Drosophila melanogaster: one gene and its partners. Each later gene encodes a partner of the first gene's protein in a complex. Each region holds a gene or a part of one and is shown in the gene's direction. Other genes may lie near its edges. The genes, in order: Spt20, wda and Sgf29.

The links.
Region 2: Spt20 (region 1) and wda share a complex: the UniProt entries of both Drosophila melanogaster proteins name them as parts of the spt-Ada-Gcn5 acetyltransferase (SAGA) complex.
Region 3: Spt20 (region 1) and Sgf29 share a complex: the UniProt entries of both Drosophila melanogaster proteins name them as parts of the spt-Ada-Gcn5 acetyltransferase (SAGA) complex.

What each region holds. Positions count from the first base shown.
Region 1 is NT_037436.4:13,500,974-13,504,727, forward strand, and holds the start of Spt20 (Spt20), read left to right. Parts: upstream 1-1,733; 5' UTR 1,734-2,375; coding exon 2,376-2,411; intron 2,412-2,482; coding exon 2,483-3,424; intron 3,425-3,482; coding exon 3,483-3,754. Other genes in the region: Tgi (Tondu-domain-containing growth inhibitor), read left to right, coding at 1-241, 310-1,082. UniProt on the Drosophila melanogaster protein: Component of the transcription regulatory complex SAGA, a multiprotein complex that activates transcription by remodeling chromatin and mediating histone acetylation and deubiquitination. The SAGA complex predominantly acetylates histone H3.
Region 2 is NT_033777.3:23,256,388-23,260,141, reverse strand, and holds the start of wda (will decrease acetylation), read left to right. Parts: upstream 1-2,054; 5' UTR 2,055-2,142; coding exon 2,143-2,301; intron 2,302-2,361; coding exon 2,362-3,656; intron 3,657-3,733; coding exon 3,734-3,754. Other genes in the region: Pex11c (peroxin 11c), read right to left, coding at 1-40, 101-465, 1,161-1,232. UniProt on the Drosophila melanogaster protein: Component of the transcription regulatory complex SAGA, a multiprotein complex that activates transcription by remodeling chromatin and mediating histone acetylation and deubiquitination. The SAGA complex predominantly acetylates histone H3.
Region 3 is NT_033778.4:21,291,870-21,295,623, reverse strand, and holds Sgf29 (SAGA-associated factor 29kDa), read left to right. Parts: upstream 1-1,977; 5' UTR 1,978-2,127; intron 2,128-2,182; exon of another isoform or gene 2,183-2,209; 5' UTR 2,210-2,264; coding exon 2,265-2,303; intron 2,304-2,358; coding exon 2,359-2,587; intron 2,588-2,639; coding exon 2,640-2,797; intron 2,798-2,866; coding exon 2,867-3,310; 3' UTR 3,311-3,385; downstream 3,386-3,754. Other genes in the region: CG9752 (uncharacterized protein), read left to right, coding at 102-357, 414-1,189; RpL29 (ribosomal protein L29), read right to left, coding at 1,265-1,393, 1,463-1,564; CG30392 (uncharacterized protein), read left to right, coding at 3,540-3,697. UniProt on the Drosophila melanogaster protein: Component of both the SAGA and CHAT histone acetyltransferase complexes, which both predominantly acetylate histone H3.

The sequences.
Region 1 (3,754 bases):
CAGCCGCACGAGGCAGGCAACAGCGAGAGGGAGCGGGAACGGGAGCGGGATCGAGAGGATCGCGACATGGACAGTCCCATTGACATGTCGGTGACGACGGGAGCTCTGAAGCAGAGAGCCTCACCGCCGCCACCCTATCGCGAACCCTTGCCTGGGACCAACTACGCGGCCAACAGTCGACCCAGCGTCATTACCCAGGCTCCACCCAAGCGAGAACCACCGGAGCAGGCCCACTCTACAGGTGAGAAGTCATATATGCACATTAGTGTCAACGATCATACTAACCTGATGCTTTGATTTGCCTTGCAGATATGGCGATGTGCGACATTGACGAGCACTTCCGACGCTCACTGGGCGAGAACTATGCTGCCCTGTTCGCCAAGAAGTCACCGACGCCTACGCCAACACCCACGCCCTCGCCAAGTGGTACACCTAAGCAGCAGGTTTCGCCACTGGCCTACGGACTGCCTTCATCAACCAGCACAGCGGCATCGCAGCACTACCAGCAGCAACGCTCGCCGCTGGCCAAGTCGGGATGGGTCATTCTGGAGCCCGAATCGCTGCAGCCGGAACTGCCGCCGCCGCAGGAGGAACCGCTTCCCCTGTCGCTGGCACTGCATCGCACCCAAACGCCGCCATCGCCGCCACCTTCGGCCACGGGATCGGCACCAGCGCTACCCACGGCCGTCAGCCAGGTGATGGAGGCAGCGGTGGCGGGCAGGCGGATCCTGGACACGCCACACCACACGCCGCCGAGATACAACACACCACCGCCTCCACCGCCGGCTTACGGAATAGCCGGAACCACCGTTGTGGCGCCGACTTTGACACCGACACCAACTCCGAATCCGACGCCGTCGCAGATTCCCACGCCCACGCCCAGCATGCCGGCCATCATTCGGGTGAAGGCTGAACCGGGACTGGCGGCCGTGGCTGCCTCCTCGACGCAGACGCCGCCCGCTTCGCCCACCTCGTCCACGAATATCTCGATATTCACCAAGACTGAAGCCTCGGTGGACGACCACTTTGCCAAGGCGCTGGGCGAAACTTGGAAGAAGCTGCAGGGCGGGCACAAGGAGTAGAGGAGGAGCAAGCGAGCAAATCACCCACCAACCCGCACACAACCCGATCCCGATCCCGATCCCAATTCCCAACAGAACTCAACACAACCCAACCCAAAAGCAACCCCTGATCCTCAACGATTCAACTCAAGAGCTGTTTTTATTATAAATATTTCAAACTACACAATTAACGTTTAAAGATCTCATGCTGATGTGAACGGAAATTCTTCAACTGCGAGTGTATTACAAGTTTCTGATATAATGATTTTATTGAATATTGATAACGGTTAGCGCGCGGATATAATTATATATATATATATATGAATATTTACATATATATGGATAAATGTGTATGACAAAGTGTATACGTACAAGTGACAAAATTTTGTATTCTTAACGCTTAGTTGGTAGAGACTAATCCTTAATAATATACCTATTAAACATAAGTAAACAATCCTACAAAGTCTGTCTATTCATTCACCGAAAGTGGGAAATAAACTGCAAAATTTCAGATTTTGAATTGCATATTTTGAATTTTCAAATGACTGTTGGGCGGCTAACAGAGCGTTAACAGCGCGCGCCTAACAGCACACAGTGCATGGGCAGCCAATGTGCACACACCACTAACGGCAGACGGAACGGCGACAATGCCATTCACAGCGAACGATAACGATTGTTGGCATTCGCACGGCACGAATCGTACAGTACATTTACATTGCAAAAAAAAGCATAAAACAAAGTTTTAAAACAATTAAAAGCGAGCAATCCTCGGCGTATCATTAAAGAACCAGCCCACTGTTCGCCCCATAACCGCAGCAGAGCGCGCGACCTTGCAAATTCACGGAGCAGCAGCGCCAGAAAGAGAGTTCGTCGGCAGAGGGGCGCAGAGAGAAAATGTCACGCAAAGCAGCAGCAGCAGTGGAAGTGGAAAAAGAGTGAAGAAACCGCAGTAATCGCCATCGGGATCCGATCTCAGTGTCCTCCAGTGCAGCGATTCGTCACACAGACGGACCGAGGAGCACCCCAAAACGATCCTGATGCGGCACAGCCGAGTGCTGAGTGTGGCGAAACTAACCGATGGACAGCAGCAGCAGCAGCAGCAGCCAGCGAAAGTAGGAGACAACAACGGAGCCCTGCGTCTGCGGTCCTAGAAATTCGTAATTCGACGTTCACTGGCAACACGGACACCTGCTAGCGCAATGCGAATGCCGCCGATCCTGGCCAGGATTGTTCGTAGACTGGTGCTTGGATGTCGTCGGTAATTGGGTGCGCCATCCTCCGTTGGATCTCCCCTAGCAATCCGCTGGCACCACCATGCAAAGCCTGGACTCCTCATGCCAAGAAGCCGACGTAAGAACTGTGGCATTTTTCATGCAGCCTGAATACGATTAATTCCCATTTTACACTTTATTTTTCGACAGTTTATTATAAATGACACGCTCAAAAAGTTAAAGGGTTCCAGCAACGCGGACCATGTCCAGGGCCTAGCGGTCCACGCCCACGGTTCGGGTGTCCACCAGACGCAGTTCGTCCAGTACGGCACGTCTGGATCCTCGCCGCAGCTGCAGCCGCAGCAGTCCTACCATCAGCTGCATCCCACGCTCCAGCAGCAGCAGTTCGCCTCCTCGAGCAGCAAATCGTACCTGGAGACCAGCCTATTGCAGGCTATACCACAGATTCCTGCCCAGCCGCCCATTTGTATCTTCGATGACGACGAGTCCCCCACCGAGGGCACTGGCGGCTCACTGGGCAGCCTGCTCACGGAGCCGACCTCGGCCACGCCCAGCGGCCTGCCCACTGCAATTGCTCCGTCGCCCTCCTCGTGCTCATCCTCCACCACAACGATGTCGAACTTCAACTCAATCACGTCGCCGTCGCCGGTGGTGCCCGATCTTCTGCTGTCGACACCGCCGGGCGTTAACTCCAGTCTAAGCAATAGCTCAACGGGAGCGGCCAGTGTGTCCAGCAAGAAGTCCGAGAAGCGGCCACCCTCCGCCAACTCAACAGCCAGTGGAGGCGGCCACCACCTGCACCATCATCACCTCCACCAGACGCACAATCACCATGTCCTGGCATCGCCCACGTCGTCGCCCAGCAAGCGCCAGAAGTCCAATAGCAGTAGCAAGGAGAGCAGCTCCTCTAGTCGCAGCTCAGCTATACCCGCCGCATCAGTCTCCACAGCCACCTCGTCGTCGCAATCAGCGCGCGCTGGCGCCGGCGCTGCCTCCTCCAATAGCAACAGCAAGCCACCTTCATCCGTCTGCCAGTCGGGCAACAGCAAGTTCTTTAATCTGCACGAGAAAATAAGGGACCTGTACCTGCAACTGCTGAGCAACGACCTAAACTACTTTGCCGAGACAGGGGTAAGTGTTGAGCCAATCAAAAGCGGAAACCTTATGTAAGGACTCTTATCACTTTCAGCTAAAGCAGCGCACTCGATCCTTTACACTGGAGCGGTTGGTGGATCGGGAGAAGCTCAACACGATTGTGGTCAACTTGTATCCCGGCAATAAGGGATACTCGCTGGCCCTGCATTATGACGAGCACATGGTGCTAAATCCGCAAACAAACGAATGGTCCCCCACGGACAAGGACGAGACCTCGAGCGATGCTGCGGGATTGGGTACGGGAACGGGCAGTCATCGGAGTCGTCCCAAGCCGCTAGCCCAGGACGAAAGTCAATCCAAGACGGA
Region 2 (3,754 bases), on another chromosome or scaffold:
GTTCAGCTTTTCCTGATTCAGTGAAAAATTCCGCATTGTCCTAGAAGATGCAATTTAATTTGAAAATTCAAAGCTGACGATTCGAATAATTCTTCTGTACCTCATGAGGTTCAGGTACACCGAAAGCACCCAGAATATGGAGTTGACATTGTCCCAGTTATCCGCATTCTTGACATCCACAATCTTGTGCTCGGCCAGCCAGCACACCTTCTCGATGGGATAGTAGAGCAAATCCACAATGTTGGCCGTCACTCCCAGCACTTGCATGACGCGATCGGGCTCATTCTCGCCCAAGCCATACTCCAAAGCATATTGGATCATGGGTATGTCGTCGATGAGACGCAGTGTGGCTCTCGCACCTGAGATCCTTGAGCTGGCGGTGGCGTATCGCTTGGCTAGTTCCGGATTCCGCTTGGCATGGTAGCCAGCCACCAGTTTGGCACTGTAGCACAATGCCTTCATCACCTGAAATAGGTATTTAATTTCATATATGTAATAATTGTTCTGCGCAATTCGTTAAGCCGTGTGTTTGCTCTATCACGAGAGTTGGCATCGCTGTTTACCTTTGCCTCTACCTGACCCCAATCGCCAGTCAGCCCTGCAATTTGTGGAATTGCTTGGTTGTCACAAACAGATAAAATACTATCAGCGATAAAAAGAATACAACGAATGCCACAATCATCTCGTGTGATGGCCGCCAGTGGAGTGCTCCTGGTCGTCCGTCCTGGCCGGAATGAGTTGTGGGTGGTTTCATTGTTTACCCATTAATGGTTCAGTTTGCTTGCTTTGCCATCAATGAATTAGTTATGCAATTCGGAGGAATACTAATGTCGCTATACGACTAATTTATGTAAATATCCTATAGTATTTCCAAAGTTCGTGACCACCCCATTCGCTGTTTACAGCCACATAATATATTATATTATATTTTCAAATGGTTATCAAGTATAACAAATTATTTGTTCTAATTAATAAATCTAAAATACTTTGAACAATATTTTATCGTATTCAAGGTTCGATTTTTCTATTAAAATAGAGATACACTATACAAGATTCCCTCTTTGTCTGCACTGTATACACCCCTTGTAGGGGTATATAAACTCGCGATGGTGGAAATGTGTGGATCGCGTGTCTCCTGATGGGCGGCAGTCCAAACAAACCTTTCGTTCATAACGAATTATCCGCTTTATCTGGTAGCGGCTTAAAGGTTTGCCGGCTATAGTATTGAGCATTATCTTGACTCGATCGCCGCCGAACTGCGACTGATAAGCGAAAAGCGAAATACAAAATCCATTGCGAATCAGAAAGAAGTAAGGCAAGGTCCAAACTGCTGTGGCTTCCTTGTTCGAGACCCAAAGACCAATGCCAACATCGATGCAGCAACAACATGGAAACCTGTTGGTTCAGTTTCGATTTCAAGCGAGCCCCTCAATGGACCAGTCCAAAAAGGAAATAGAAACCAGTCAAAATGCCACGATGCATTTTTTTAAATTTGCGCATACGAATTGGGAAAAACACTCGGTTCAAACGTAAACAAACAGGTGTGTTTTCAATTAATTGGAAATTTACTCGGCTGTGCGGCTCTTCTATGTTACCTTATCTCGCCCGCCATAGGAATCGATAATATCACAGAACTCGTTCACAAACTTTGTCGTGGTGCCCATAATGGCTCGTTTTTTGAAGACCAGGTACTGTTTTATATCACGTAAAAACTCGAACTGAGATACCGCAGCGAAAATACAAGAAATTGTCAAGAGCGCTCGGGAATCCAACAACACAAACAGCTGACTTTCTTCAGTGGTGACAATAGCCAAATAAACTAGCTAAGAATAGAGAATATAATAGAGCTAAAAATAAAAAGCTAGTTAATATAAATAAAATATAATATAAATATAAGTTAAAAATGTAAAAATAAATTTAAAATTAAAATATTTCAATATCAATATTGTTATAAAAGAGAAGCCAAATAGCCATCACTGACGAAAACAATTTTGAAAGAACAGCTGTTGCAGCCGCTTAAAATCGATGAATGCACATCGATAGGACAACCCATCTCCGCTGTCAGCACTATAATCGAACGCATATCGGACGCACTGCAGGACGGGATCAGGATACGGAACAAAGCGAGGCTAACACGCAACGATGAGCCTGCCCAGCGCCAGCAACCACGCACATGCTGCATCGCCCGTCTACAGCAACAGCAATAACAACAAGTCGAGCGCGAGCAGCAAAAAGACCTCCTCCAAAAACGATTTGCTACGCTGCGCCGTGGGACTCCTGCTGAAGCAGAAAAACTACGTGGTAAGTGAATAATCTTCAAATATACAATTCCTCAGAGTGTTCAAATATTCAAACCCGTAGAGCAACGAACGATTTCGGCGGTCGGATTTTTTGCTGCTGCAAAACAAACAGCAGTTTGCTGTCAACAAAATGCTGGATACGGATTTGCACGGTGGCAATAGCTTCACCTTTTCAAATGTCCAGGTTATCACCAACAACCAGCACACTGTGGACCAGCAATTTGGTCGGTTTTCGCAGTTCGTGGAGGCCCAGGCCGAACCGCTGCGTCTGGAAATGAAGCGCTTTTATGGACCCATGCTGTGCCACTTCTATCTGGATCTGCTCAAGGCTCGCGAACCGCGTGGCGCTGTGGAGTTGTTGCGCAAATATGCTCACTTGGTGGCCCCCGTGGATATGTACGATGCACCACCACCTACCAAGATCAACGGATGCTCCACTACGGCCAATGAGTCCACTTTTAACATACGCTTCGCAAAGGAAGCCCAGGACACTGGGGACACGGAACTGGACTACTTTATGCGCCTGGTGCAAACCCTGAGTGGCTACACACGGCTGGAGGCAGCAGAGTCCGATGACACAGTGGCCCATTTTCGATCTTCGAAATACGAACTACATACTACAGCCGTAGTTGTTAATAGGATATGCGCTTATCTCCAACGACGGGGCCACGTTTTAATTATGAACCTACTCTACACCTGGTTGCATGTCCATATAGTGGAGAATGAGCAGCGCGCCTTTAGTGAGGATCACCTGCTTGGCTTGACGGATGACCTGGAAGGTGAGGATGGAGAGGACGATGTTGTTTCCAAACCAGCAGTAACCCTTAATACCCGCGGAGACATAAGACCAAGCAAATCCCTCACTGAAAAGTCGAACCGAAAACGACCCGCTGAGGAGCCAAACATTATGCTAGAAACAGACATCAAACAGGAGGTAGAAACGGATGAATCTGCAGAGCTTAGTAAATTACAACTGAATATAGACGCCTGCTTGGACACCCTTAAATCGGCCACTGAACAGATACTCAAGTCTCAGGTGGAGTTGCCGCGATTTCTCAGAATCAGTGAACGTTCTCGGGGCCTCACCTCCGCCCATCTGGATCCCAGTGAGTGCCACATGTTAGCCGGGTTCGACAATTCTGCCGTACAGCTGTGGCAGTTAAACCAGAGCTACTGCCGCGGCAAGAGCTTCTACAGACGCTATCCGCAAAAGCGGTGTCCCTGGGAGCTGAACAATTGCGCGAATCAAGAGGAGGAGACGGATGAGGACAGCAGCGATGAGGATGTCAAGTGCTCTGAGGAGGAGAGACGGGAACGCAACAGGGCGCGACATTGCAAATATGCTGATAACTCCTAGTAAGTTCATCTTCCAGGTTTAGTATTGGTTTTATTTTTCAATTTTTAATCAACTAAAGTTTTTTTTTTCTAATTAGCAACGAATACGGCGGATTTCA
Region 3 (3,754 bases), on another chromosome or scaffold:
CAGACTACTTACCATCCCGAATCTCCTAAATAAACCAAAACGCCTGTTACAGCGCCAAAAGTCGCGACATCTTAATTAAAAACATTAATAAAATTGTTAAAATGTCCAGCAGCAAACTAAGTCCCCGGGAATCTGGAGCCTATATCGTAGAAAATGCCAAGCATGTTCGTATTCTGCCTGCAGGCATTGAGAAACTGACCCAGGAAATCGTAAAAGGCCTAATAGAAAAACGCATTGCTGTGGAAAACTTCTCGCAGCACGAATTACATCCCAATCCAAATCAGCCGGAGGATTATTCCAAAGCAGCCGACTGGGTCTTTGTGTTGGACACCCTGAACTTTTGCTTTTGGACCCCCAGTGAGTAATTGATATTTATAGCAGCATCCACTATCTTCAATGGTAATCTTCCGCAGATAACTACACCAAATATAAGGTCGATGGCTATACCGGCTACTTTGCGCTGTGTGCTGCGATTAAGAGAGCCATCAAGGAAGGCGTGGATGTGATCAATCCCAAGTTCTATTCCCAGATTGATCTGAAAACCGTGGAGAACATTTTCCGCTCTGACGATGGCGAGACAGTGATTCCGCTGCTCCAAAAGCGTCTGGAATCGCTCCATGAAGTGGGAAAAGTTCTGATCGACAAGTACGACGGCAGTTTTGAGAATGTTATCAAGAAGGCGGAGAAATCGGCAGTTCGCTTGCTGGATCTCGTTGTGGAGGAGTTTCCCTGTTTTCGCGATGAGGCTGAGTTTGCTGGAAAGCGAGTTTCCATCCTAAAACGAGCGCAAATCCTAGTGGGCGATGTGTGGTCCTGCTACAGAGGTCAGGGACTTGGGTTCTTTAATGACATCGATCAGATAACCATGTTCGCTGACTACCGAATTCCCCAGGTGCTAGTGCACTTCGGCAGTTTGGAGTACACCAGTGAGCTAATGGAGTTCCTAAAGACGGATACTATTCTGGAGAACGGCGATCCCCGAGAGGTGGAGATACGCGGCGCATCTATATACATCATCGAACAAGTTAGGGATGCTGTGGTGAAGATACTCAAGGAGCAGCACCCCGAAATCTCACTGGACAACGTCAACTCCATTGTGATCGACCAATATCTGTGGGACTACCGGCGTCGGCACAATGCCGACCTGGAGCACATTCCCTTCCACAAGGTGCTGAGCATCTACTACTAACGACGGCAACACAAATAAAGACGGTTCTTTGTTAAACTGAATTGTCCTTTAATTATCCACACGCGGGGCAATCATCTACAGAGTAACAGGCTTTGGCTTGCCCTTCTGGGAAGCGATGCGCTCGTTGTAGCGCTTCACGGACTCCTCGCGGGAAAGGTTTCCCTTGCGTGCGTAGCGCTGGTTGATCAGAAATTTCACATCCATCTAAAGACGGGAAGGTTGTTAAAATCAACTCTAGATGCTAACTAAATATGCATATTTTTGAATACTTACACCCAGAGTGGACTCGTGGCGTTTGCGCAGCGGGCGCTTGATGCCATTACGATGGGCCTTCTTGTTCTGGTTGTGATTTGTGTGGTTCTTGGACTTGGCCATCTTAAACTACTCCGGGTATCCAAAGATTCGTTGATGGGGCGGCACATGAAAACAGAAAAAATGTTCGCCATTATAATTTTAGCTTGGGGTTAACACTTGGAGTTCACTTTTAGCCAACGCCAGTTGAACAAAAAGCCAACAACTGTTGAAATTTTCGTTGCATTTCTCGTGTATTAGGCACCTACGTTTTTCGCACACTGGAATTCCTAGCTGCAATTGAAGATATTATAAATAAAAATAGCCAATTGGAAAAACGCGGAGCACACTTACGGAAACGCGATGGAAAAGAAGGGAAAGCCAGAGAGGCTGTCATAGAGCGCAGAAAAGGGACTAAATAACGCCAACCACGTGAAGATATCGTGCTGTTATCTGCGTGCTGTTAGGCGCACTTGCTTCCATCTCCAATGTAAGAAACGTAAACAACTTTGAAAAGTAAATATTCGAGTTTGAGAAAAAGATCCACTAAAGTCAAATAATGAGATTATACGGTACAAAAATCTTAACAATAATTACTCTGTTTTACTCTGTAAAATAAAATTTGCTAAGATTAAAAAAATACTGAGGTAAAATATAAAACTATCGCATAGTTAATACTAACGCGTTGTCGACTTTACGCTTATGCTTGTTTTTGTTTTCATTGCGTAGGTAAACAAAGTGTTCAAAAAACAAATTTATTATATTGTTATAATATCGAAACAACATGCCACTGACTGCGGAGAGTGCCGCCCAACAGATTCAGGTAAAGATGTTAACAATAAATGTCGATATATACTATATTTATATGGCATTTACAGGATCGCCTGAAGGACATTCAACAAAACATTCACAATGTGGACGAGGAGCGTCGTCGTGCGGAAAACTCCATTGCTAGTCTGGTGCGATCTCTGCACGCCACCAATCAGAAGGTTAAGCCCCTGCTCAAGGCCAGTTTAACGGAGGCTGCGCAGGAGGAGGCCACAATCCGAGCCGCACTGGCGAAAATCCACGAGATTCGAAGCATTCGCAATGAGAGGCGCATCCAAGGTGGGTTAGTGATGGGATGTATAAACAGGATTTAATCTCGCATATTCCACAGCTCGCAACGCTGGAAATAAGGAGGCCATTCGACGGGGCGCCCTTATGAAAATGGTGCAGCTCTCAGCGCAAACGTTGCCGTTATTCGTTGGCAAACTAGGAGAACGAGCACCAGCTCTATGTGGAGCCATTCCCGCCGAGGGGAACTATGTGGCCAAGGTAAGCATTCATTTTGATTGGACAAAGAAGCTGGGATGATGATCTGACTAATCGGACGCCACTGTATAGGTTGGCGACAATGTTGCCGCATTAGCTAAGGGAATTGATGAGGAGGAGAACTGGATCCTGGCGGAAGTGGTGCAGTTCCTTCACCGTCAAAACAAATACGACGTAATTGACATTGACGAGGAGCAAAAGGATCGCCATGTGCTGAGCAAGCGAAAGGTCATCCCACTGCCTCTAATGCGTGCAAATCCTGAGACCGATGGTCACGCCCTCTTCCCCAAGGACACAGTGGTAATGGCGCTATATCCACAGACCACCTGTTTCTACAAGGCCATTGTCCATCGCCTGCCGCAAACCGCCACCGAGGATTACGAGGTGCTATTCGAGGATTCATCGTACACGAATGGCTATGCCGAACCCTTGCCGGTCGCACAGCGCTATGTGATTGCATATCGTCCAACGAAAAAGGGGGCTGGCAGTGGCAGCGGGAATCTATCATCAGCATAAAAAATGTATTATCTTAACTTTAAGAATTAAATGTAATTGTAATAATAGCTCCAATTAAAATTGTATTCAATTCACAATAGACTGGTTTCTGTCTGGAATAAGAAGAAAGTAATTTCAGGGTGGTATTTTAATACCGGATTTTTTGGAGAACGGTTACATTGATTTCCTAAAAAAAATAAATAGACTTTAAAGTTTGTAGGAAAACAAAGGGGAAAGGCAGGCTTATAAGATGAGTAAAACGAGCTTAGCGACGCAGACCAATGGCACGGCGGAAAATGGAAACTGTTTTGATATCCTCAAAGTGTCTAATTTGTTCGAAACCAGCCTTCTGGACGAGGATGACGTACAATTAGACGCATACTTGGCAGCCTACGAGGAAATAATGAAGTAAACTGAGTGATTATGATGTTTATGTTTTTTAGTGGTGCTCTATTGGGCTTTCGG